Astyanax mexicanus: one gene and its partners. The protein of the gene in region 2 purifies or fractionates together with the protein of the main gene of each other region. This does not show direct contact. Links are inferred from orthologs where the notes say so. Each region holds a gene or a part of one and is shown on either strand. Other genes may lie near its edges.

Region 1 (7,157 bases), on a different chromosome or scaffold from region 2:
TGCTCTCAATATAATAAGCAGAACTGCAGGTGTGTATATCAGAGTGTGTGAGTGTGTGTGCACCTGCTTGGCAGTTTAACTGCTTTGCTATCTGTATTTTTCCATAGTGTTCACAGCTCCACTGTTTACAGAGTCATCCTCATGATGTAGTGTATACAGTAAACTGCACGTTGTGTGACATGTTAATGCTGAATTATTGTGTCACTGAACCACATTGCAACTATTTTTAACCGGAGAGAATGGCAGTAGTATACGTCTGCTAGGAAGTGTGGTTTCATTTTATAATTAAAAGCGTATATGTACACACTTCTAGATGTCCTTAAATAAAACATAGAGAATTATCATTAAATAAAGTTTTCAATTCAAACTTAACAGTAACTTTATTAACACCACCTCCATGTTTCTACATGCTTTGTCTATTTCATTAGCTTGATTTACCACATACGAGGACTGTGTAGTCCTATAAATCACAAACAGTAGTTCTTCCGTTTCTCTATTATCCTGTTTTACTCCTGTTCTTCAATGGTCAAGACCCCAGAGGATAAACCACCACAGACCAGCTATTATTATATGGGTGGCGGGTCATTCCCAGCACTGCAGTGATACTAGCAAGGTGGAGATGTGTTGGTAGTGTGGATTGTGATGGTATGAGTGGATCAGACACAGCAGTGCTGCTGGAGCTTTTAAACCCCTCAGTGTCACTGCTGGACTGAGAATAATCCGCTAACTAGGAATATCCAGCCAGCAGCGTCCTGTAAGCAGTGTCCTGATGAAGAATGACTACTTTTTACTACAATTATTTTTTATATATAAAAACATCATTATACATTCCATAATAACCAAGGGTTAGATTAATTCCTATACCTATTCATTCAAATCTGTGGCGCCAGTCGGGTGTAGGGGAAGGAGGAATGTTAGAGGTTATCTGCAAGCAGGGTTTATCACATTAACTACTTTAATGATTTCCATGAACTTTATATCTAAAATGATTTACATTTCCATCAGATTACAGCAGCAAAGCTCAGTGTTTGCCTTTCAAACACACACACACACACACAGTGTTTCACACGAGTTAACTTTGCTTATATTTGGCTGTTTATACGGCTGAGTAAGATTTGCTATACTGGTATGCTAGCTGGTTTACCAGCTCTTGACCTGCACAATGTATTGTAGCATCAGTGTGGGAAGGGTCAAAGTAACAAGGCTAAACCATAGCTCCATAGTCCCAGCAACTTTATTGAAATATTTCTTTTAAAAATGGCAGCCCACTGATAGAGACCCTTATTCACCCCTAACACTAACACCAGCAGGGTGAAAAATGCTCCACCATTGCAACCACCACAAATAAAATAAAAATAAATACAAATAATCACAAAAAACCTAAACGACCCAAGGAACAGAAAGAATGCAACTGAGCATGCTGAGAACTCTAGTTCTATGTTACACAATTTGCTGCAAGTTTGCACTTTGTTGTCTATATTGTACTGTTTGTTCCATGTTGCACCATGGTTCCAGAGGAACGTAATTTCATTGCACTGTGTACTTGGACTCGGATGAAACGGCAACAAAAGACTATTGACTTGACTTGAACTCCCTGATAGATCCTAAAATGAAAACTCAAAGATTAATTTTACCTTTAAACCTAGAGAACCTATGCATAACAACTCTAACTTAGGCACTATTAGTCCTCAAATAGGTTTTGGCAGACTTCTGACAGAGGTGTATGTTCCTCAAGCTGAACTGTGTTTCCACAGCCAATAAAAAGAGTTTGTATTGGTAGAGCTAGTATTGGTGTTTGTGGTAAAGAGTTGCTGATGAAAAATCAATTGTACTGAACCCTTATCTACTGAGCAAAAACCAAACGTTTTTGTCAGACAATATAGCATGTCTATTCATGCAAGACCATGTAATAAATAGCACAACAGTTACAATAATAAGTAAACAGCTCCTGTAAAAACATTTGTAGCCTACTATATGATGAAATATCAAGTCATAAACACTATACATATTGTTTTTAGACTGGATGTCAGGTAAAAGTATAAAATGTTTATGTATTATTTACTGCAACTAGTGTGTGCAATGAACAGATACATACTCACTAGTGAATACACTTCAAAGACACATACATGTTTTGTGAGAACATATGCCTGGAGCGATGGGGAGGTGCCCAGGGAGCAGTGGCCACTTAAGAGCCTTGCTCAACAGTGAGACAAATCCAGGTATCGAGCCTACAACCTGGTATTGTTTGTTTTAAGGGTGTAGCTAAACATTTCCTGCTAGACAAGTTGCATTCAATACAATACACTGCAACACAATAGCTTACATTCTAAAAAAAACCTTTAAAAATGGCAAAAATGTCTGGCAGCTAAAACGTCCAGACATTGACTGTAAAGATAAAGTAAGGGATAGGCTGATCTAAACTGGTAAGCATACAGTTTTCTAGTAACATCTATTTAACTTTGGCTATCAGAAAATCCTCATGTTTGCCTACATGTTAATCTGTTCACAGAAAGCAAATTTTGATATTCAAACCAGTCCATAAAGCATTAGCTGTGCTTATATTGTTCTTATAGAATTCTTTGAAAATATTTGCATCAAACTTCACTGACTTCAGGATAAGCTCTGCTTTGTTTAAACATTGTGGGGCTCTTTCCCCTAGTCTAGATCTAAACAGAATATGCTGTGTATTACAAGACTAAGCTTAATCCCTGCCTGGGAAAGTAATCCTGTATGATCAGGATTTGGTCCAGTCTTTTTACAATTTTTACATTGTCTAATGATGATGTTCATGGAAGGCCAGTGATTGTTTGACTAATCTATGTAGCATTTTACAGCTGGATAGACAATAGCTGGTTGCAGCCAGCCATTCATGAGTCAGAGTTATTTAGGCAGGGACACAATGTACAGAAGAAAAGTATGTTAGCCCTAAATCTCAGCGTGCCTTGGCATGAAGCCCTTACGTGAGATGCCATCCTTTTGACTTCACCGACCAGATAATCTGCCCTAAAAAGATAAAAGAAAAGAATGTGTTAAACAAAAAAAAAAACAGTTTTTGAACTTTCTTTGCAAACCATAGTATCCTAAATACTTTTAAATGTGGAGATGTTGTGAATTTGTGTTTAAATAACATACATTAGGTATGCCATGTATGCTGTACAACTTGTGTCACAGAGGGAAGCATGAAGCAATTCTGTTCTCTAACTTGAGACAGACTATGAAGAAATCTTTTGAAAAAACCCTGTATCTCATCATCTTCATGTTGCAGAACCTTCCTAAATGAGACAGAATGACGCACTGCATATCAGTACTGTCATGTCAATTATTATTACAATTTTATACACTTGAAAAAGGCAGCAGTCATTATATTTTATATGTAAACATTTTTTGACTAATGGACCAAAAGTAATTCTTCACAATTATGTTTATGTAAACTCATGACGCAGTCATTCACAGCAGTGTTTTGGCAGCAACAAAACACACTGCCACTATGACTGTGCATCAGTAGGAATGTTCCACTCCTTCACCAGTAGACTTTATGGTACGTCAAACCACAGGCTGACGTCAGTGTCCCATCCCTTCATTTCAGCAGTCCAGGAGATTAAAGATGATAAATAATAAACACCTGTCTCCTTTGTTTTGATTAATGCTGTTTTTGGGCAGGAAGGAAGGAAGCAGGAAATACGGGTAATTGTAAATGACAAAGTAGATCATTCAGAGGTGGCATATTCTGCATCATTTATGTATTATAAATGTGAGTGATGAAAATTGAAGAGTTCACTTTTATACATTAATAATAGTTAATCTTTGCATTCCTTATTATAATTGTTTCATTACTATATCACTTGACTGAGTTTTATCAGAAATTACTTTTTTATTTGTATTATAGAGCGACTTACAAGGTTAGTCCTTCTACAACCCAGTGTTAGAGGTATTGTCCAAGGACTCCTCTTGGTGTAGCACAGAATAGTCACCCAGACCGGGAATTGAACCCCAGTCTCCCAGATGGTGCACCAGTAGTAAAATTATGTGTTATTTGTATACATTTTATTTTTATTATATTTATTTCATGCCAATTTAACACTGTTAATTGTCCTTCTTTTTCTTTATTATTATTATTATTATTATTATTATTATTATTATTATTATTATTATTATTATTATATTATCATTACAAGTAAATGTCTCAGAAGACAAACCAACAATGTGCAAAATATTAACCAAGCAGTTTTATTTATAATAATAAATTGACTTAAATAAAAAGTGCTTGTTTTTGCCATTTTTAGTTGGATATTTTCGGTTGCCTAATATTTGGTGCATACCTATATTTTGTTATTAATGCCACACATTTTAATATAAAAAAAGAAGTGACGTGAAAAAAAATCAACTAAAAAAAGGTTATCCCAACCACCAGCCTCTCTCATCCCTTCAGCTTAGTCATTTTTCTCAGTCCTAGCTCCACTTATCAGAAGGGGTCTGGCCTTCCTGCCTCCTGCTCTGTCCCTCTTACAGTCTCCTCCCACAGTCTCCTCCCACATCATCATATCCTGATAGTGTGGTCAACTCTAGCTAAATAAAAAACTGTGCCTAATGTCCTATTACGGGTGTGAATGTGACATTGAAGATGAGTGCTGAATGTTACACAACCATATATACCACATATGTCACAGGCCCACCTTTTGATCTGATGCATGATGGGATGAAACAGTACAAGTCATGCTCTTTCTATTTCCTCCTCACTCACTTCAGAGCATGTGGTCTGGATTCCAGTCCTGTTATTAGAGGGGAGAGGGGAGATGCGGGTGGGGGTGTAATAGGCCTCCCTGTACTTCACCATCAGCAACAGCAGCAACAACACATACCCGACCAGTGAGATCATCGCCCACTCCATCTCACAGCTATGTAACTGGGGGCCTGTTGAGACACTCAAGGCCCAGGGTTCAGACAGACCACCCTGGATGAAACCAAAACAAAGGCCTTCATTCATAAAACTCTGCCTCAGAGTAAACTTTTCTAATGTTTAAAACAACAGTTTTTTTCTGTTTTATTTCTGTCCTTGATTCCAGTAAATTTTTTGATGTGAGGAAGGCTTTGTTTCCGTGGTTCTAGCAGATGTTCTGCAGAGAAAGAGCAAGAAAAAGAGACAGAGAGAGGGAGGGAGAGCGTGGGGAGGAATGTGGGGAGGAGACTTCAAAGTGATAAGTAACCAAATACGTCCCTTTGAGGACAAAGCTCTCTGTTTTTGTGGGAACAGACAATCTCAGGCTTTCTACCAGGAAAACCGAAACTGCCTTTTCTCCACAAAGGACAAGATAAATAGAACATTTTAACCCTACAATGGCAGAGCTTCTAAAAGTTTAATTCAAGATAATTTAAGTACATTGTTCTAGAAAAATAGAATGTACAGCTGGAGTTCCTTATAGACTCGTTTCAGTCTGATCTTTTGGTCTTTGGAGCATTTTAATTGGTTCGTTGCTGGCACATACCTACAGCACTCCCTGCATATCTTTACATAAATGAAAACGAGTCGAGACTTCTTCTTCATTCTTGTGTGCACGAGTCTGACACACCTTAGTTATACAAGCTGCTGCGTGGGAAGATAGATCAAACTCCACACTACAACAAATGTTAAAGAGTAAACTTCAATAAGCCTGATTCATTCACTGTGATTTCAGATCATTTCAAAGCAGTGTTAATAATATACTCATAACAACAAAGCAGCAGCAATGTCTTATCCAGAGGTTTCACAGTGAGTCAGTGAATATAGTCCTATGGTTTCCTGCTCTTAATATACCTTTAAAATGTTCTAGGAACATTAAGCAATAGGCACAGATTCATGTTTGGGGAAACTTTAGCAGTTGAAACATTTGCAGTTCTGTGCTCTTCATTATTGTGTGCATGTGAAGTCTGCAAGGCTTTAGTGTGGGGTGTCTCATTCTAGTCCTCTACACTCCCTTCCTGCAGCATTTGGTTACTGCAGATTTAAAAGTGCCCTAAATTTCCTTGAGGTACAGCCAAGAACTGATTGAGTTGAACTGATATGAGTTGATGGCCTTGTTTACACCTTTCTGACAAACAGCAGAGAACATTTCCAGCTGTTATTCAGCTGAGTTCATTCATTTAACTGCTCATTGAGCTGCATAATGTTTGTCATGTGAACTGAGCTGTGGAATACATCAACCAAATCAATGAAGGAAATGCGTTAAAACAGGAAAAATGGGTAAGCATAAAGATCTGAGCAACTGTGACATGGGACACGTTGTGTTGGCTAGACCAGTATTTCTTGACACTATTTATGGTGACTCACTCCCCTGCACTTTTTGGTTTTTTAGTGCTTCCAGATCCAAATAATCACTGAACAGCCCATTATTAAGTTAGAGTGTGTGTATGTTAAAGCAGAAAAAACATTAAAATTTGCAATACAGTGAGCCTCATTGACCAGGGTTAAGAAAACGAGAAAATGAAAAAAGAGTTAAACCACTGGGTCAAATCTTACAAAAATATCAATGGTATGCAGTGGTCAGTTTACCCATCAAAAGTGGTCTGAGAGAGGACATGCAATAATCTGATGATAGGGTCATGCACACCTATAGCTCACTGAGACCCCACCTCATAACATACAGGCATGCTGACTTAAAGGATCTGCTGCCAAGATAACAGAACTTTTTTAGAGGCCATTGTAATGGTCAGATCTGTTAAGCTGGCACAAGGGCGACTTATTCAGCATTAAACAGGTGGTGCTAATGCTATGACTGATCGCTGCACATGCAAATGAGCTTTAAAAAGGCAAACAAATAAACAAACATGTATGACCGATAACAATCTTTCTGGGTATGACATACGCAGAAACTGCACGCCACACCGCTCTGCCCTTTCAAACCCAGCACCCTCTAGGTGTTTTTCGCTCTGCATCTGCACACTGCAAATGTAACCAAACCTGGATGAGCACCGCATGGCTCATAGCTCTATTTGAGAAAGGCCTAATATAACAAAAAGCTAATAAAATAGTCAGGACTCATACCGGCGGCCATTGTGCGCCGTACAGGATGTGTAAACTTTGTTTAGGATAGTGTGTTCTTTCGTGAGTTTAGGGAAATGGAATACTTTTTTTTTTCCTTGAATGTGAATGTGTGAATGAAAAGTGGGAGACAAGCAATGTT
Region 2 (7,586 bases):
AAGATAAGGTACAACTACTACACTTAAGGAAAAGAGAGAAAAGGAGGAAGATAAAGAGGGACAGAGAAAGACGCACATGCTCAGAGGTCTCTGGAGGCAGCCTACAGAGGCCTCTGGTACTGAGATGGTCTGTATTGAGCTCAAGCTGGAGTTTTGGAACAGAGCGAAACGTTTTCTTCTGTCCATACCTTGCAAACTCCTGGCCAGCCATACTGGGACCCAGACCTTTGAAAATGAGACACAAATCACCAGGGTGAGCTGCACCGAGCTACGGCCAAATGGGAGAACGATCCAGAAAAGAAAAAAATAATAAATAAATAGAAAAGAAAAGAAAAAATGCAATGACGCAGATTTAAAACGATGTCTTGCGTCAGAAAGGTGAGAAAGTGTAAGAAAGAGAAGGCTAAGAAGAGAGGTAGAGGAGAGCAACAAAGAAGTAAAAGGAAAAAACAGGACCTTCTTCGTGGGTGGCAGAAAGGTCTCTCTCTTCTTTGAACTCGTCCTTCACATCATCCTCTGAACCTACTTTTCCTGTAGCAAGTAAGGAAAAATATACATTCAGATATGACAATTATGGCTAATGCTTAACAAATTACAATGTCAGTTAAAAATACATGTAAATGCAACTCACCTTCTTTGACATCCTGTATTATTTCCTCCGGCAGGACAAAGGTCTTTTCCGAGTTGGGAAAGGGTAGTATTTCAGACTCGTGCTGTCGGAACGAGGAGGAATTAGCTATGCTTTTTTTTTTACCACAGTTTATGATACATTAAGAGTCAAATATGCCTCACCAGTGCCTGCATGTCGTACATCGTCGACAGGTGGTCCCAGATGACTTTTGATGATACTTGCCTCCCAATGTTTTGGCTAAATTTATCACGGATGCAAATCATATGGAAGTGACGGTTAACCCCTGAAATAAAAAAAAATTATTAAACCCCAGTGCAAAAAAAACAAGTTAACACATTGGTTAACAGCAACCTGGTTAAAATAACTATAACAGACTTACAGTGGCATAGAATACCTTTCCAGACACTATTTACATTGTAAGGTATAATTAAAACACAACAAAAGATACATGGATAAATAAATATAATAATTCTTTAAATATTTAAATATATATAACAAGCTCTTGTGGCAGTACTTTTGTTCATCACTGGTTTCTAGCACAATTTTGACTAAGTTCAAGACTTTAGCATATGAAAGATGTAGAATACAGAACATTCTGCCACTTATTCATTGCGAGCAGTCCTTAGGACCAAAGAGTCCCAATATCCTCCTCTCTCTTTTTCTCATCATTTTATGTTTCCAGACCTAGGCTTAATCAATAATGTGAACTATATATGCAAGTAAATCGTTTGACCTGGAGGGGCTTACTGACCAAAAACAAAAATATGGGAAGAAAAGAAAAATAAATGTTTGAAGAGAAACTTTAATAATTAATGGGAGATTTAAAATGAGAGATTTATAAAATTATTAAATAAAACCAAAGGTTGCTTTGATAAGTTGATCTAACTTTACATTTTTACATTATTTGTAAAAAAAAAATAAGTAAACAGTAGCAATGGTTGGTGTATTGGACCTTAGTTTATCTGTTATTATTGTAGAGTTGCTTGTGTGGGGTGATCACTGTCGGAGGATGTCAATGACGGGTGTCCAGATTGAATTCTATTTAGTGATTTTATTTTTGGCATATACATATAAAGATTTGTAGAAAACTTTTTTCTACTGATTGAAAGCCAGGAGTATTTTTTTATATTCCATTTCATGAGGATAGTCTTCTTGGCTATTTTTAGAGCTATGAGTATAGCATCCAACTGACAGTTAAAGGCTACCAGCCGTCTTGTCTGTTTTGGCCAAAATGCATTATATAATATAAATGCAAATTTATAACAGACATGAATTTTTATTTAAAACGGAATTGTAACACCATTCTCCACCAAGCTGCACCAATAAAGAATCCAATCAGAGTCATCTGAGCATTTACTGTTTTATCTGTATGTTTCTCTGAGTTGATATGTACATTTTACACTTTTTGATTTGGAGAAAAACATGTTTAGTTAAATATTTGGTTGTAAACTTTAGTATTAGAGAACTGGTGCTGCTGCATCTGTTGTTAATGACATTGATATGTTCTTTTGTGCACCAAGCAGAATTTTAGCTAAAGTTTTAAATAGCGAAGTGGATTAAAATACGTTATTAAACACGTTTCTAAATAATTGATTTTTTTATGAATCTTGTGACAGAACTGTCTGGGCTGTGGGTATCAGCACGCTGGACAGATGCTGGTCTGGGTCTGTGGTTAAACAAAGCAGATGGTGATTAAACCAACACTGCATTAAAAACATAGTTTTGCAATTAACATTAACTTACTGATTATTTATAACTTTGCTGGCTTCTGTAAAACTATTTACAGTACAGTACAGCAGAGCACACTAGAGATTGTGTTAGTCTTAGTCAGTTAGCTAGGTTAGTTAGCTGGCGAGGCTAACAAGCTAACAGTAATTCAACTAAAAATACAGAACTCATGATGCTTTCCGACTAAACTAAATTAGTGAGCTTAAGTTAAGGTTATTAATTATCAATGTCTAACTTAGCAAGCGCAGTAATTTCACTCAACAATGCCTCTCTGTCTTTATAAAGCCAAACCGAGCACACCAAGTCCACAGACAAGCCGGCCGGTTGTCGGCTCCCGGCTCCCGGACCAAGCTGAACTCTACGCTGGGGATTCGAGGCCTACTGAAAGGAGCCACTTAAGGAAACACAAAAACTGCAGCTCACCGACGGGTTTATGTCCCAGCATGGCGTGAAACAGACACACTTCCACCTCCTGACTCCATACCACCGACTCTTCAGCGGCACACACTCCCGAATCCCCCTGCTTTTCGTCGGCGGGTACAGCCTCAGCTTCGCCCATCGTTTTTCTGAATGTATTTTACTGTAGTGAAGCCGCTGCAGTGCGAGTCCTCAGAATCCGCCTCCAGGAGGTCCCAAACAAACCCCGACAGTGGATCTGACAAATACACCAAACCGACGGTATATCGACGGTATATCGTTAGCAGCAGCCTCATTATACAGTTTATTATTTAGCATTTCTTTCTATTGGTGTCATTAAATCAGTCGTACTAGTTGTACACTCTAGTGGTGTCCATGCTTCCATCTGTTGACAACTTTTATGGAAATGTGGATTTCATTTTCCAGCAGGACTTGGCACACTGCCAAAAGTACCAGTTGGTCTTATATAATAATTTTCTAAAACAGACTTTTTTTTTGTTTTCATTGGCTGTAAGCCATAATCATCATCAATAAAATACAGAAACGCTTAACCCTTTCAGACCTGAATTATCTTCAGTTATGTTTTCTGTCTGTAATGCACAGAAAAGAAGACTCTAATAATCTACTATAAAATGTAGTCATATAGCAAATAAATCCAATTAACTAAAATATTTATTAGCTTATTTTTATTTCCATTGCATTGGAAGCCTGTTTAATATTTTATATTTCTTCTTGACTTTTTTTTCATAAAACACCATAAAAAACATGATTATAAAGTGTTCTAAATCACATTAAATGAGTAAAAAATAGCCAAACCAAAATACTCTGTGAAGCATTGAGGTGGCTCCTATCTGGGGTGCTGTTAACTTGTGGTTTCTGAAGCTGATATCTCTGATGAACCTTTGCAACAGCATGTTTTTTGGTCTTTCTTTTTTGGTGCAGTCCTGATGAGAGCCAGTTTCAGCATTAAACATTTTGATGATCTTTGCGACTGCATTTAAGGACACTTTCAAGGTTCTTGATTTTTTTTTATCTTGATTGACTGACCTCCATTTCTTGTAGTGTTTTATTTTTCTTTACTTAGTTCTTGACATAATATGCATCAGAACATTACTCAAATAGGGCTATTCACTGTATTATACTCTTCCTCTTTACAACACAACTGATACTCTTAAACACATTAAGATGGAAGGAAATAAAAGGACCCCTGTTAATTCCCTGTTACATGTTTAAAAGCAAAGGGCTAGGAGATGTTTTTCATATATACTAGTCGAGTCATTGTGCATCTGAAAATCAGTGAAAATGAGATCACCCTCAACTGAAAAATAACATTTATTTGATTATACCACAGTTTGGTTATTTGTTGATATCTAAAAAGTCTTACCACTTTTTTAAATACCACTTTATTCTGATTTTTGGCTCCAAATGCGCAAATGATCTTAAGTATGCTTTTGGTACACGATCAATATGTTTAGTTTTTCTACTTTTCCTTTACTAGGCATTGAAAGTTTGCACCTTATCCAGAAAGCATGAAGTTTTGCCAGGACTATGGATTGCATTCCCCTTCAACATTATATTATGCATTATTTCCTTTAAATTATGCCCAGTTGCATAAAACACAAAAGTGAAAATTCCCTTAAAACGGCCCTTAACGATAAGTGTTACCTGAGGTCTTAACGGAAATCATCATCACCAGGGGCCTCATGTACTAAGACTTGCGTGGACTTCCTACTAAAATGTTCCGTACGCTCAGATCTGAAAAGTTCCGTACGCACAAAAAAATCCGGATTTATCAAACCGTGCGTAGGCAGAATCCCACGTACTTTCTCTTAGTACATCACAATCAACTTGAAATCAAGCGCAAATGCACGAAAGCAGCACACTTGCCACGACTCCTCCCTCAATTACGCAGAGTATAATGTTATATTATTATTATTATTATTATTATTATTAATAATAATATTATTATTATTATTATTATTATTATTAATAATAATAATAATAATAATAATAATATTATATACGCATAGCGTATAATTACCCATGTTTTAAGTTTTATTATTCTAAGATAAATGCTTTCATTTAAATGCTTTAAATGAGTTGCCTACCAAAAAGACACACGTCACGCACTCAGCTTGTTTTCTTATGCTCTTGGAAATCTAAAACTGCTTATAAGCCAGTCATCATCATGGGCCAAAAAAACATAATGGTCACGGAAAATGCGCGCTCAATGTATTCGGCCGTTAGCAGTATTTTCCAGTAATGCCAACGCTGCATCTCCAACAACTCCAGCGCAAACCTGATCTAGGCTAAGTGGAAACACGTTAAACGATTATTTCTGTAAGACAATGAAACTGTCTGATTAATTTACTTTATTTTACCCAATAATGCTTACTTCAATGTGTGCATAAAGGATATCTTAATAGTTGTAATTTCAATGCATCGCCTCTAAGTGTCGCCAAATGACAAAAACACAATACATACGCACAAAAAAAAGGCGTACGCCCAAAACAAAACTTCCGTGGGGGAACGCACTTTCACACGTTCAAGTCAAATTTAGTACATCAGACCGTGAGCGTGAAATATGGCGTACGCAATGTTTTTGTGCGTACGCACCTTTAGTACATGAGGCCCCAGGTCCTTCCAAAATACTTTGCTATGCTGTACTGACACATGCAGACTTGAGTAGCAAGTGAGATTTTTTTTGCAGGGTAGTGTTAACTACCATGTAGTTCACAGACCATTCAATTAAAAACATTTTATTAGTATATACAATTTTACATGCAACTGATAAGGTCACTGAAATGCTCATAAAAAAAAGCTAAAGGCTTTAAGTGCCACCTGAAATGTGTTTCATAATTCAACATTGTGGGTTTTCAATTGTACAGACCCAGAAAAAAAACAGTGTTTTAAAAGCATGACAGGACACTTCCTGTATTAAAACAAAACTCCAATTTCTTAATAATAATTTTAGCAAACACCTTTAAACATGTCACGTTTTCAAGCAATGCCATGAATGATGCTGCCAACTGAAAGGCCTCGCTGCTTGTCTTCCACTAGTTTGTGCATATGAGCACACTGCAGACCTTCAGATGGGCTCTCTGTGAAGGAACCCTTAGAGAAGACAACCCAGTCCCCGTTGATTTGTATTCCATGAGCCTGGCAAAGTTGAACAGCCAGGGATTGCTCCAGGGAGAGAATGTCTGCTAGCTTCTGGATAGGGAAGCGACAGTTTTTGCTGCTGTGTCCGTGGTTGTAGAGTAGCAGCAGATCCCTCCTGCAGGACAGAAGATGCCGGTGGAGGGCGCAGGCCTGCAAGAAGTCTAGTTTCTGGGCTAGGCGGAGGAGACGGACAGGGTTGCGCTCCATGTATGCCCTACTGACCGCTAGAGCCAACTGAACTGGTGGAGAAGTTCGCACTTTGTGAGGTAGTGCAAGAGCATGCTGTGTAGCTTGTGGTGAACCTGGAAACCAAATAAACACAAAAGGACAATTTAGAAAATATCTAGCAGCAACATGAATCCACATTCTCGATTAAAAGAGCAGCAACTATAGAGCTGTAAATACAATTTAATTAAGTAACAACCTGGATTGAGATCTGTAGTTTCTGACTTCATTTGAAACTATAATGTACACCAGGATAAAAGTATTTATTTACAATTTTGCAGCTGTATAATATTTTGTATCAGCAGCAAGCTTATCCACAACTTCATCTGGTCAGTGACAGTCCTGAAGATTCCTTCAATGGATATTAAAGAGGAATTGTCAATCTGTTAAGTGTATTAATATGCTATTAGTATCTAATAAAATGCTCAGTGTTCATAAAAAAGCAAATTGATACAGAATTTTGCATCCCAATAAAAACAAATGAGGAAGACCATGATCCTCAAAATAGAGCAGAACATTTTTTTATGCACAGATTTTACAGAAATGAACACTAGAGGTCACTGGGGGTTCTGTATTCTGTATTCCGAATTTTGTGTGTTTAATGTTTTTGCCTGATTCTTTGTCCGTTAATCATGTTTCTGTAAAGCTGCTTTGTGCCAACACCAGTTGTAAAAAGCGCTATACAAATAAATTTGATTTGATTTGATTAATGATAAATCAGGCAAGGGTTTTACGTTCCGGTCTTTATCTGTTCTGTACATTATCTTTTTTAGGAATCTGCTCAATTGTAAACAATGTTGAACTCCAAACACCAGCTGTGACAGCCTGTTAATTGCAGCCGATGTTTGTAGTAGTGTTTGCTAGCTCTGCTGTGTTCAGATACTTACTTTACTTGGCTGAATGGTGGAAAAAGGGGAATCCAGTTAGTAAGAAACAAACTCAAAAACGGCTCAAACAACACAAAACTGTATTGTTCATAAATAGTAGGCCTAACTAACTCATTAGAAGCATTAATTTGTTTGTTTTACCCGGTGTAAATACAAACAAAAAAATAATAAATTATGCCCTGTTCTCCCCTACAAGGATGCTATGCTGTCATAAAAAGTCTGCTGTCATAACAAGAGCAAAATGCTTCTACTCACCAAGGTTGTAGAGCAAGCTGAGGGCCTGAAACTCGTCCTGGTGCTTGTGCTGTCCCTCAGCGTAGCACTCCAGCAGCCAGCTCAGACTCTCCTGCAGGTGTGTGTCGTTGATGTGCGGGTCGTAAAGCCGAAGTGGTTGCCCACACAGATGGTAAGAAGCATACAGAAGGAAGCGCACTGTTCGCTCCAACACACTTGCACAATCCGGACCAGAAATGCGCTGGATGACCATGTCCTGACGAACACTGCGCAAGCGGTCAAACACAAAGCTGTAGACCTGT
Region 3 (6,873 bases), on a different chromosome or scaffold from region 2:
ACTAGACAACTGTAAAGAAATAAAAGGTTTGATAGACATGAAATGTTTGATCTGTATTCACTAAAATGTTGATTTTAAAATAAAGTAATGACAAGGAAATCTATTTTTTATTTTTACATTTTCTATATTGTCCAAACCTTTGCTAGTTTTATTTTTAATGTCAGAGTGGGGTTTTGCCAGTAGAATTATTCTTTTAATGTTTAAATAAGGCATACCTTAAACATATAAAAATGTGTAGATTAGTTATTTTCATAGGGGTATTAAAAGGTGTTTTGTCAGGCATATCTTATTTTTCTGCATTATACTTAATAAAATATAGTGAAAATAGTGCTTAAAGTTATACATGTTGTTGGTGTGTTATTGAGAGAGAAATGTTAGTGCTGTAAATACAGAATAAAAGTATTTTTGCTGTTATGGTATCTCCATGTTGGCAGTAGCTTTTGTAACAGCACCAATAGCAGAACAATGTTTGCTCAGGTAACCAGCAAAAGCTATTATGGCCAGAAAAAGGTCAAATACACTGTTTTTACAATTTATGTGTGTGCCTTTTTAGGAATGGTAGCAAGGGGCACATTAAGGCCATTTACTATAAAATGTTGCCCTCTCTTACAGACTGCAGGTATATATATATATATATATATATATATATATATATATATATATATATATATATATATATATATATATATATATATATATATATATATTATGGCAAGCTATGGCAAGCCAAACAGGAAATATATAATAAAAGCTGATATATATATATAATGAAAGCCGATATATATATAATGAAAGCGATATATATATAATGAAAGCGATATATATATAATGAAAGCGATATATATATAATGAAAGTGATATATATATAATGAAAGTGATATATATATATATATATATATATATATATATATATATATATATATATATATATATATATATATATATATATATATATATATATATATATATATAATGAACTCTGATATATATCTGATATATATATAATAAAAGCTGATATGCCTGAGAGACTGAAGGTGGCGTTGTTGTTTCAGCCGGCCGCAGCTCCTCGCGCAGGGGAGGCCGACCACCGGCAGGCAGCGCGGCGCATTCTCTCCACAGAGGAGCGGCGCGACCGGCCTCGGACTGGCTTTAAAGTGTCAGGGGGCGAAGGTGGCAAAAAAGCTCCGGCCCGCGAGCTGCTTTCACCGAGCCGGGGACGGTCTACCAGTGTTCATTATATACATATCAGCTTTCATTATATATATATCAGCTTTCATTATATATATATATATATATATATATATATATATATATATATATCAGCTTTCATTATATATATATCAGCCTTTATTATATATATATATCAGAGTTCATTATATATATATATCGCTTTCATTATATATATATCACTTTCTATATATATATATCAGAGTTCATTATATATATATATATATATCAGAGTTTATTATATATATATATATCAGAGTTTATTATATATATCAGCGTTCATTATATATATATATATATATATATATATATATCAGAGTTTATTATATATATATATATATATATATATATATATATATATATATATATATATATATATATATCAGAGTTCAATATATATATATATCAGCTTTCATTATATATATATATATATCAGAGTTCATTATATATATATATATATATATATATATATATATATATATATATATATATATATATATATATATATATATATATCAGTGTTATCCTTACTTCCTTTTCCTGATGATTTAATTTCCTGTTCCTATTTTTCCCCCCAAGCTAGCTGCTGTTGTTAAAAAAACTTATGGAGTTAATATGGAAATATTTAAAATGAGATTTAACTAATTAAAAAATAATTAATAATTAGTTTCTCAAATCCCTATATTTTCCCTATATATATATACGGAAAAAATAATTAATAATTAGTTTCCCAAATCCCTATATTTCCCTATATATGTATACGGAAAAAATAATTAATAATTAGTTTCCCAAATCCCTATATTTCCATATATGTATATATATGGAAATATAGGGATTTGGGAAACTAATTATTAATTATTTTTTAATTAATTAAATCTCATTTTAAATATTTATTTAACATTTTAAGCAATTATTTCTTTATTCATTTATTTATATGATATTGTTACAAATAACACTCCATAAGTTTTTTAACAACAGCAGCTAGCTTGGGGGAAAAACAGGAACAGGAAATTAAATAATCAGGAAAAGGAAGTAAGGATAACACTGATATATATATAATGAACTCTGATATATATATATGATGAAAGCTAATATATATATAATGAACGCTGATATATATATATAATAAACTCTGATATATATATATATATATATATATATATATATATATATATATATATATATATATATATATATATATATAATGAAAGTAATATATATAATGAAAGTGATATATATATATATATATATATATATATATATATATATATATATATATATATAATGAAAGCTGATATATATATATAATGAACACTGGTAGACCGTCCCCGGCTCGGTGAAAGCAGCTCGCGGGCCGGAGCTTTTTTGCCACCTTCGCCCCCTGACACTTTAAAGCCAGTCCGAGGCCGGTCGCGCCGCTCCTCTGTGGAGAGAATGCGCCGCGATGCCTGCCGGTGGTCGGATTCCCCTGCGCGAGGAGCTGCGGCCGGCTGAAACAACAACGCCACCTTCAGTCTCTCAGGCTGACTGTGCGGACCACCCGTTTACCTCTTAAAGGGTTTTAACAGCTTTCATTATATATATATATATATATATATATATATATATATATATATATATATATATATATATATATATATATATATATATATATATATCAGCTTTTATTATATATATATATATATATATATATATATATATATATATATATATATATATATATCGCTTTTATTATTTATATATCAGCTTTCATTATATATATATATATATATATATATATATATATATATATATATATATATATATATCAGAGTTCATTATATATATATCGGCTTTTATTATATATATATATCGCTTTCATTATATATATATCGGCCTTCTATATATATATATCGGCTTTCATTACATACATATCACTTTCATTATATATATATCGACTTTCATTATATATATATCAGCTTTTATTATATATTTCCTGTTTGGCTTGCCATAAAATATATATATATATATATATATATATATATATATATATATATATATATATATATATATATATATATATATATATATAATCTTCTCATTTAATATTTTTCTTTATTTATTTACAATTAAGGGACAAATTAATTACATAGAAAAGGAGGAGTCAACAAAGATGTTCTTTAAACTTGTTTGACTTTACTTTTTAATTTGGGAGAAATGTTAGTAGTTCACAGGATAAAACATGTTCATTTAAAATTTTACTTAAATATATACCTATAAAAATGAGAAACTGATCATTTTGAAGTGGTCTTTACATGTTTTTTTTTTTTGTTTATTAGCCTAAAGTTAGGTCATGATTTGTGTGTGTTAATTATGGGAGATTATTGGTAAATTGTTAGGGTTGTAAATACTGAATAAATGTGTGTAATGTTCGCCTGTGGCCCTTAAATCCGCTGTAAAGCAGAAATGCAGTGTGTTTGTTGTGTTTTGGGGGCCTATAGCTAACTATAATCCTGCGTCTCGCGCAGGCCGCTTGCGTTTCGTAACGTTCTCGTGAGCGCGCGTCCTCGTGCTCGTGCCTGTGTGTGAGCGCGAGAAGCTGCGCGCGCACCCGCACCCGCCGCGTGCACGCGCTCTGCTGCTTGCTGCTCGCTCTCCGTGTCTCGCGCTGCCTGCCGGGATTGCGTTCATGTCCGCCATGTTCTCTGTGGCTCCGAGAGCGGAGCGCCCGAGTAGGAGTAGCGCGGCGCCGCGCAGCCACTAAACCCCGCTGCAGGAATGGCCCCGGCCGCCGGCCTTCGAACGCGAGGGAGTCAATGATCGGCACGGCGACGGCAGAAGGAGTCGGCGGAGCGAGAATCCGGCGGGCGCGGCCCGTTTCCCCCCCCGCGTTTCCTCGGCGTCGTGTTGTTTGCGTGAAATCACACCGTCATGAGTAAACTCTCGTTCCGAGCGCGGGCGCTAGACGCCGCCAAACCGCTTCCAATTTACCGCAATGGAGACATCCCGGACCTCAACGACTGCGTGTCCATCAACCGCGCGGTCCCGCAGATGCCGACGGGCATGGAGAAGGAGGAGGAATCGGTAGGTTATCGCTTTAAATCGCCTTTATTCCACTTCATACACGGGTATATTCGGGTGTGTGGCGATACATGGCTCTTAGTGGTATTCACAAACGGTCATTACGCTAACTGCGTAAGCGACGGTTAACATGAGCTATCTAGGCAGTTAGCTATATACTACGCTGTATGCGTAGTGTAGAGAGAAGATGGCGAGGGCGGCGTTGTGTGTGGTGTTTTTTTTTGTGTGATGTTGCTGGTGGTTTACGCAAACGAGCTCTGCGCAAACTGCGTACGCAGTCGTGCGTACGTAGTCCTGCGTACGTACATACGCCTGTGTTACGCCTTTGTATGCCTTTGTCTAGTGCTTTAGCGTGAGCCGAGTCGTGAATTGCGTAGCTAGCTGCGTCACGTCGTAGAGTGTCGGTCCGTTACCATCTGCGCGTTTTGAAAAGCGGAGCCTGTGTTGCGTCGAGTTGCGCTACCTGTCGATTTGTGCTTCCTATACATTTTGCGCATGCGCACACAATACCAGTTTTTAACAAATTTTAGCTACAGAACTTCATAGTAATTCCTCAATAGTTTTACTCGGCTAAGTTTCACAATTTCAGTTTGCTTGTACTCGTTTTTTAAGATATGTTTGTATTTTGTTTTACCTTAGTTGTCTATAACGTTAGCTAACCTAACCTAGCTAGCCACCCTGATAACCTAAGCTACAATGGTTTAGGCTGTATAACGTAAATATATAGTTTAGCTAGTAAAGCTATGAACGTTGCGCATTTTAATAGACTTCGTATTGCTTTATGCGCGCGCACACAGTAATGTGTTCCCAGAGTGGCTTACCTGATGTTTAAGTGCAAGTAAATTTGAATAATATCCGTTAAAGTAATAATATTACCACAAGGACAACAATAATAAGCATTATTTAAAAAAGTTTAGACACTTGTTAAACGTTTAGAAAATTTACAATGAAGAAAAATGTGAAATAGCAGCTAATATAACCTAGTGTTATTATTAGCAGTTAAAATGAAATAGAGCTTTACCTAGATGTATAAATAAGCAGGGAGGCAAGGAGCAGCGCTTTAGATGTTTGGGTGAAAGTAAACAGCCCTACTTTTGCTTGAATTATTCTCAGAATTATACTTGGCTGTTTTATTTAAGCAGCTTTAACTACTTAGGTAGTAACTACATTATACACCATGGTAGCACGTTTTGACAAGGTATCGCAAATCGACAAAGCACCGCTTCAAAGCCTGGCTAGGCTAGATTAAGCTAACGTGTACACAACAGTTAGCCTAGCTTAGCTAGCTAAGTTAAATCTGCAGTATTTTAGGTGATGATTGAACTGCGTGGTGCTCTGTCACCATTAAGCATTCATTATATTACACCTATTTAAGCATACAAACATGTATTTAGCTATTTTGGTTAGCGTTAGCTTGGATTGTTAGCTAGCTAGGTTGCTAACTATTGTAGCTTAGCTAGCTTAGCTAAAAAAGGAAAGACTCGGATCCTTATTAGCTAATGCTTACGAGAAAACCTACGCTATTTGGTTGTTTGCGTGTGTGTAAAAAGGTTGTAGGATCATTTTAATACAACACTGCTCTATAGCTTATTAAACTGATGGTGGTGCTAGCTAAGCTAAAGTAGATAGATGGCTAATATATATCTAGCCAGTTAGGTTAACTAGCTAGCTAGCAATTGAGATTATGGCGCGTTGGGAAATTCAAGCTTTATTTTAGCATGAATTCACTGTTTTTCACCTACATCTGTAGGTTAAATCTAACATCCTGCTCTTTCCTGTAATTATTTATTCGAATGGTTTATTATATAGGTTATATTGTTCTTTGGATATTAAAACCTTAATGAGACGTTTGTAAATGATTTATTCAGTGATTTATGAAGCTTGGTTTTGTGGTGTGACCTTTATTAACGTCTAAAAGTTTTATATTATGTGGAGATTACTAATAATAGCTGTATACTGGTGTGTCATGATAAGAATAGTTTGATATATCATTCCAGAAATTATTGTGAAACAATATTATCCTTTTTATACCGTTAAATGCCACTGACATTATGGTAATATTATAACATAATAAAGCAACTGTACCCTTTTTATAAAGACAACACAATTAGAAATTAATCATACTTTGGTACATATACTTTTTTCACCTACTGCAGACCACACTGTGTGTATGGGTAGAGTTTTTAAAGCACTGGTCATTTGCATGACTGGCTACAATACTGTTTACTGTTATTTATGTGAGCAAATAAACACAATAGACAGTATCATTACTGTCATTAGGTCATGTTCATTTATTGTATGACAGGGCAATAAAGTAATTGTTGTGACAGGCCTAAACTTAGGTCTGTGGTGTGACCTTTATTAATACAAAATTGTGTCTGTTACTTATCATGTTTGTTGCTATACTGGAAAATAAAGAGTCTTAGATAGTAGGGTGTTCGATATCGTATTGTGCGTCACAATAATATTGCCAAAAATTCTACACAATAAAGAAATTGCATTATTTTTTATATTTGGTATGTACTGTATTTGGCTCATATTACTTATTGGCTAATATTTGGTGATATGGCCAAAATTTATATTACA
Region 4 (6,929 bases), on a different chromosome or scaffold from region 2:
GTGAGTGAAAGAAAGAGTGATTAGGTGAGCAAGAAATAGAGAGGGAGAGAGAGAACAACTAGAAACATGAGTTAAAGGAGTAAATGAGAAAAAGTGAGATAAAGTTAGAATGAGAAAGAGAGAGAACAACTGGAAGACTGAGTGAGAGAATAGTTGAGTTAACGAACAAGGAATACAGACTCAGAGAGTGAGAGAGCAAGAGAAAAAGAGAGAGAACAGCTGGTAAAATGAGTGAGACAGTTAGAGTGGATGAGTGAGCATTGAGAAACAGAATGAGAGAGAGACAGAACAACTGTGAGAGTTGAGCAAGAAATAAAAAAATAGAAAGTAAGAGAGACAGCATCTACTAACAGGAGACAGGAGGGTGAGAGAACATTATACTTGGTGAGAGGATGAGTCGGTAGTGAGAGAAGTGAAAAAAGAGTGCTTGAGAAAGAGAGGAGTAAGCAAGATAGCGTGAAAATTGAAAGAGCAGAAAAATAGAGTAAAGAAATGAGAGTGTGAAAATATAGTGAGTAAAAAAGCAAAAGAATGAGTGAGTGAGCGAGAGATAATGTGAGTGGGTAAGTGACAGTGAGTAAGTGAGTGAGAAACAGAGGAGGAAGTGTAATAGAGGAATGCAGAGGGTCAGGAGGTCAAATATGTGTATTACTGTCTGCAGGGATGAGCTGAATGTGCCCCTGGGGTGAGGGAGTGAAACAGTCACTGCTGGCCTTCTTTACTAATCTAAATGTGGCATTTCCATATAAATAATCTTGTTTCTACACCCATTATCCTGCTATGGGTGTAGAAACAATGTATGCTATTTTTTCTCAGCTTTACTGAGCATAAAGAAACACACTGTAGTTCTACAATTACAGTATTTAATCATTCTATTTCTCTGCATACTTTATTATCCTCCTTTCACCCTGTTATTCAATGCTCAGGACCCCAGAGGATCACCACATAGCAGATATGGAGTTTTTGTATATATAAAGCTCTGGAAAAAAAGGCCACTTCAAAATTATGAATTTCTTTGATTTTACCAAATTAAAAACCTCTGGAATATAATCAAGAGGATCAAGAGATGGATGATCACAACCATCCAACCAAGCTGAACTGCTTAAATTCTTGCTCCAGGAGTGGCATTAAGTTATTCAAAAGCATCATGTAAGACTGGTGGTGGAGAACATGATAAAACTGTGATTAAAAACCAGGATCATTCCACCAAATATTGATTTCTTAACTCTTAAAACTTTATGAATATGAAAGATTGTTTTCTTTGCATTATATGAGGTCTGAAAGCTCTTTTTTGATATTTCAGCCATTTCTCATTTTCTGCAAATAAATGCTCTAAATGACCATTTTTGGGGGGAAAGTTGGGAGAAATGTTGTCCGTGGTTTATAGAATAATATAATAAAGTAAAGTCTTTATTTTATTAGATTAAATTCTATATTTGTTGTGTAATTATTATCTTACCATCTTCCTATATCCATTATTATACCTTAAATCTTGGTACACCACTACACTGCAGATTGGGCTTTAGTTGCTGGTGATTCTGCTGCACAAACAGTCCAGCTATAAATACACACAGAACCTCATCAGAGAATCCATGTTCTTTCTCATGAGCCATCAGGGAGTATTTCACACAGCCCAAAGTCACGACGGTCCAGTGAGAGACAGGGGTAGTGCTGGTGCGCTTGTGGCTTAAATATCTAACATTTTTCTAGCATTTCAGATTTCCTCAGAGGTCTGCTTATGACATCTCTAAGTATGTACTGATTTATATATATTATATATATATATATATATATATATATATATATATATATATATATATATATATATATATATATATATATATATATATATACTATCTCACAGAAATATGAATATCTTTGAAAAGGTACTTTATTTTAGTAATTCAGTTTTAAAATGTGAAACTCATATATTATACAGATGTATTACACACAGAGCAATCTATTTTAAGCATTTTTTTCTGTTATTGTTGATGGTTTATTGTCATGGCTTGCAGCCAATGAAAAAACAAAAATCTGTGTCTCAGAAAATTTGAATATTGAATAAGACTAATTAGTCTTCGTCTTAGTCATCTGCTGGTGTTGGTCCACTGTGCTTCCCTCTGCTGACAACTTTTATTAAGATGCTGATTTCATTTTCCAGTAGGACATGGCACAGTGCCCACACTGCTAAAAGTACCAAATGGTCTTTAAGATTTTATAATTTTCATCAACGATAAAAAATATGTGTAAAAATGATAATCTCATGCTCCCTGAACCACTCTTTCACAATTCCAGCTCCATGAATCCTGGCATTTTCGTCTTGGAATATTCACGTGCCATCAGCTAAGAAAATATCCATTGATGGAATAACCTGGTCTATATTCAGTATATTCAGGTAGTCAGCTGATCTCATTCTTTCAGCACATACTGTTGCTGAACCTAAACCTGACAAACGGCAGCAACCTTAGATCATTTGCTTAGTTAAATCCAGCTGGGGACCTTTTTTTGGCCAGGCAGTGTACCTTTCCTAAGGTTGATGATTGGGGGTGAATTTGGGATGTGGGGGTCACAACATATTTTGAACCTAAAAAGGGGTCGCACAGTAAAAAAGGTTAACACTCTGCTTTATATCATAATTTATTCTGGTCTGGTGCTACAAATACATTTATTTAAGTTACAAATGAAAGCAATTTGAGGCAAGTTGTATATATTGAATTACCAACTGTAAACCAATGTGCCTGTAAATGAAAAGTCATTCACTGCTGCCCTCTTCAGGCTGATCGTGGAAACTAACCCCTCCTTTCCATACCTGAACTCTTTCTTTACTCGGCCTTGAGATTTCTAAGGAGAGTCTGTTTAGCCTTTGTGTTATTCCCTCATATTGATCCACGACAGCGGTTTGACAGTATAAAATGTATTATTATTCTGAATAGAAGAAATACGTATTATGCTCCATACTGCAACAGTGAATACTGAAAACTAAATATGAAAAATCTGTATCATGTTCTATACTGAACCTTTTTTTACTCTGTAATACATTGAGGGTAACCCTCATTTTCAATGCAGCTGAGCATTTACGACCTAAAGTGACTGAAAAAAATACATTTAAATTACAATTAAAATCAGGTAAATCCGAAGAGCTTAAACAAGGACCTTCATAAACAAAACAATCAAAATTAAAAGGTAAAAACATTCAAAAAACAGCAAATAATAAAATATTTAGTTAAGAAGAAATAAAATAATTCAGATTAAAAGGATAAGTGGACAGGCTAAAATGTAAAGCAATAAAATAAAGAGATAAATCATTTAAATAATAAAATATTTAAAAAAAATAATATTAAATAAAACGATAAAATAAATGAAATAAAAAGCTACAAGGCCAAAAGTTAAATCCCAGCTTGCCACCAACGTCCATAGACGTTAATTTTAGGGTAAAAGTTGGTCATGAGGTCAGATTCAGAGGTCAGAAATATTACGTCAGGATAACGTCTAATACCGTTATGTGCCTGCAGGGAGGAAATCAATAAATAAAAGGACGAAATGGATAAAATAAATAAAATGGCAAAAAGCTAAAACAGAAAATGTAACACAAAAAACACAAAATAAATAAAGCAATAAATAAAACCAAAGAGTCAAGAATCGTTCACTTCACAGTTTGTGTTGTTCATCCACTAATCCTAAATTATAGCCCACATAAAGCTTTACACGGGACATAAAGACATACAAGGTGGTCATAATGTTATGCTTGTTTTGTATACAGTCCATTAACACGCTGTGCGCGTTCCTTTAATAAAAACTACAAATACCATGAGCATTTTCAGTGAAGGCGGGTGCTGCGTAAGTAAGTCACCGACCAATCCCTGTGCACGTCTACGCCGCCAGGCCCCGCCCCTCCGAAATCGCCTTTTTTTTCTTCGGCGTTCAGCGAGGCGAGGCGCCATATTGAAGAGTTCTCCGTTTTCTGCAAAACCTCGAAAAATACCCCGTTAGCCACCATGCTGTACCTGGAGGACTACCTGGAGAGTGAGTATAGGTGTTTCTGTGTTCGCTCGCTGTGGTGGCGGTGTGTTCGTGTGCTGGGGGAGGCCCGTGTCGCGGGGAAACGGCCGCGCGGTCGTTAGCCGCTAGGCTAGCTCCTAACTCCGCTTTTTCTTCTCTCCGGCAGTGATCGAGCAGCTACCCATGGATCTCCGCGACAGGTTTACGGAAATGCGAGAGATGGACCTGCAGGTTCAGAGTAAGGCACTGCATTCAGCGGTTCTCTCTCAGAGTCTGACCGCTGAGACTTCAGCCCTGCAACCACTGCACTTTACTGACCCATAAAAACACTGAAACACATTACAACTCTATTATTTCACTTTTTAAACGGGTTTTCTTCAATTTCTCAAATTATGTAGATTTTCATTTCTGCTCTTCACATGATTAATTGCAGGAGGAAATTTTGTTTTTTTTTTCATTCTCTTAACAAAATTATCAAGCTAAATTTGAAAATAGAAAATTGGGTTTAAAACTTAATTATTATTATTATTTCCATTCAGTATAGCGAAGACGAAATGGGATTCATCCAAATTATTATAATTCGTCCAAAATATAATAATTAATTATCTAGTTTTTCATTTAAGCTATTCACAGACAGAATTTCATGAAAAATGAAATTCTTTCGATTTTTAAATTTGTCAATTTTTGCATCTTGTAACACAAATCGGATGGTAAAATGCAAAAATGAAAAAAATTAGGGGAAAAAAATGAAATTTGGAAAAGTCGATGAAAAACTATATTTAAAAAAATAAATAATGAGTTTTACGTCAAATTTTCGATTTTTGCATTTAACCTAAAACGGTCATAAAAATTAAATAAATAAACATTACACTGACCATTATATCATCAGATTTTTGTTACAAGATGCAGAAATGGAAAAATTAAAAAATCAAGAGAAGATTAACTACATATTTTTTACAATTTCCCTGAAACTATTTGTGATAAATGTCAGAAACTGAAAAAAATGTATGAAATCCTTTATCAGCATTTTTCTGGTAATGGGATCAAGGGAAACATTTCAGATGATGTTTTACCACCACTTTTCTATTTCCCAATTTAGTCGTAACTTTATGTTCTAAAGTTTGACCAAAATTTGAATGTGTTTTATAATAAAGTAGTTAATTATAGATGCTGAGTGCATGGAGCAGAGAAGAAAGAACCATGAGAGCTCTAGTAACTGAAAAATTGTAAAACTTAAAAAAAAAACAAAAAAAAAACTTAAGATTCTGTGTGAAGTAATAATAATTTATGTAACATAAAAATAATGTAATATATCAACACAAAAACTATTATACATAAATATCTTCACAGAAGAAAATAAGCATCACATTAAATAGCGAAACAAATGACACTCAAACAAATAAATGTGTATAACACTGATATGACGTGTTTGTTATTCTCACATAAAAATATTGCCCTCTAAAAACAAAAGTTCTCAAATTTTAGGAAAACCACTGGAACACTCCTGTTTTATTTTTTATTTTTTATTTTTATCCAGTTGCAGGCTTGACACATAGCTGTCCACTGTTAGTACACATATCTCTTAGTTGGTCATCCACTTGCAAATAATGACCCTCTTCCTGCTTTTCAGATGCGATGGACCAGCTGGAACAGAGAGTTAATGAGTTCTTTGCCAACGCTAAAAAGAACAAACCAGAATGGAGGGAAGAGCAGATGGAGGTTATTAAGAAGGTACAGAACAAAAGATGCAATTCTCTGTGGAATCCGTGGTTGGAGCATCTGCTAAAAATAACTAATTGGTTAAAGTTGTTAAATTCTGAATCAGCCCTTAATCAGCCCTCTAAACACATCTAATTGTGATGTTTACTATTCACAGTTTTGTTTTTCCACACTTAATGAACTGTATTATTAAATTATTTTTGGCTGTTTTGCTTAGCCTGTAATAAAGTATTAATTTTGATTGCAGAAGCTGTAATTAATGCATATCTTCTCCTCTGTCTCTTTTATTCAGGATTACTATAAGGCTTTGGAAGATGCAGATGAAAAAGTTCAGCTAGCCAATCAAATCTATGATCTGGTGAGTATGGATGATTGTACCGCAGTACACTTTATGTCCACTTTATGTCCACTAGAGGCAGTCACTCATTGTGAATGTACTCTTATGTGTGGAATGAATTGGAAAGATGTTTTTGTATATGCTGTGAAAGCTTGTTATTCTGATGTCTGATGATAAACAATTCTTCATAGTTCAGTTAAGGATTGTATGATTTTGTGTGCGCTCAGGTGGATCGACACTTGAGGAAGTTGGATCAGGAGTTGGCCAAATTTAAAATGGAATTGGAGGCTGATAATGCAGGAATCACTGAGATCCTGGAGAGACGTAAGTGTAGTCTGTCTGCCAAGCTAGTTATCATATGTGAGGACATCAGCTGGGAAATGTGGATCTCTTAATTATGCAGTGCTATGTGCATAAGAATGCTTGTTTAATTTATTAGTTGTTTAAGCAGCCTTTCTTAACTTACCTTTCTTCTTTTCTGTAGGGTCGTTGGAAATGGACAGCCCTTCTCAACCTGTCAATAACCACCATGTCCACTCTCACACCACAGCAGAAAGTAAGACAGTCCTCTATCTGTGTTCACTGTATGACTGCACAGTTTATTAGCCGTGTCTAAACATGCTAAATAAAGAGTTCGTACGGTCGTGAAAACCTGGAAAAGTCAAGAAATTTGAAAATAGCAATTTCCAGACCTGGATAAGTTTTAGAAAAATAAAAACACCCAGAAAGTTTAGAAAAAGTCATGGAAGTTTGGTCTACAAATCTTTGTGTTTCAGTTTATCGATTGAGAGAATTTATTCTAAGTTAACAAATACGTCAGATCAGAGTTAATTCAGTAATTTAGCCCTAAACAATGGAGCTCTCAGGATCTGAC

Evidence for each region.
Region 1: the proteins of MRG/MORF4L-binding protein (region 2) and vps72b purify together in Homo sapiens (co-immunoprecipitation; 5 studies listed by BioGRID and IntAct, counting the BioPlex papers as one, with this or other methods). This does not show direct contact. The link is inferred for Astyanax mexicanus from reciprocal best matches to the Homo sapiens genes MRGBP and VPS72.
Region 3: the proteins of MRG/MORF4L-binding protein (region 2) and epc2 purify together in Homo sapiens (co-immunoprecipitation; 4 studies listed by BioGRID and IntAct, counting the BioPlex papers as one, with this or other methods). This does not show direct contact. The link is inferred for Astyanax mexicanus from reciprocal best matches to the Homo sapiens genes MRGBP and EPC2.
Region 4: the proteins of MRG/MORF4L-binding protein (region 2) and ing3 purify together in Homo sapiens (co-immunoprecipitation; 4 studies listed by BioGRID and IntAct, counting the BioPlex papers as one, with this or other methods). This does not show direct contact. The link is inferred for Astyanax mexicanus from reciprocal best matches to the Homo sapiens genes MRGBP and ING3.

The regions. Positions count from the first base shown.
Region 1 is NC_064413.1:39,939,707-39,946,863, reverse strand, and holds the start of vps72b (vacuolar protein sorting-associated protein 72 homolog), read left to right. Parts: upstream 1-4,133; 5' UTR 4,134-7,157. UniProt on the Homo sapiens protein: Deposition-and-exchange histone chaperone specific for H2AZ1, specifically chaperones H2AZ1 and deposits it into nucleosomes.
Region 2 is NC_064420.1:29,040,621-29,048,206, reverse strand, and holds the start of MRG/MORF4L-binding protein, read right to left. Parts: upstream 3,024-7,586; 5' UTR 2,919-3,023; coding exon 2,783-2,918; intron 915-2,782; coding exon 793-914; intron 714-792; coding exon 632-713; intron 532-631; coding exon 452-531; intron 226-451; coding exon 189-225; intron 1-188. Other genes in the region: sac3d1 (SAC3 domain-containing protein 1), read right to left, coding at 5,777-6,240, 7,306-7,582.
Region 3 is NC_064418.1:14,791,131-14,798,003, forward strand, and holds the start of epc2 (enhancer of polycomb homolog 2), read left to right. Parts: upstream 1-3,864; 5' UTR 3,865-4,137; coding exon 4,138-4,290; intron 4,291-6,873. UniProt on the Homo sapiens protein: May play a role in transcription or DNA repair.
Region 4 is NC_064409.1:8,057,582-8,064,510, forward strand, and holds the start of ing3 (inhibitor of growth protein 3), read left to right. Parts: upstream 1-3,903; 5' UTR 3,904-3,995; coding exon 3,996-4,023; intron 4,024-4,165; coding exon 4,166-4,237; intron 4,238-5,629; coding exon 5,630-5,730; intron 5,731-6,010; coding exon 6,011-6,076; intron 6,077-6,282; coding exon 6,283-6,379; intron 6,380-6,539; coding exon 6,540-6,611; intron 6,612-6,929. UniProt on the Homo sapiens protein: Component of the NuA4 histone acetyltransferase (HAT) complex which is involved in transcriptional activation of select genes principally by acetylation of nucleosomal histones H4 and H2A.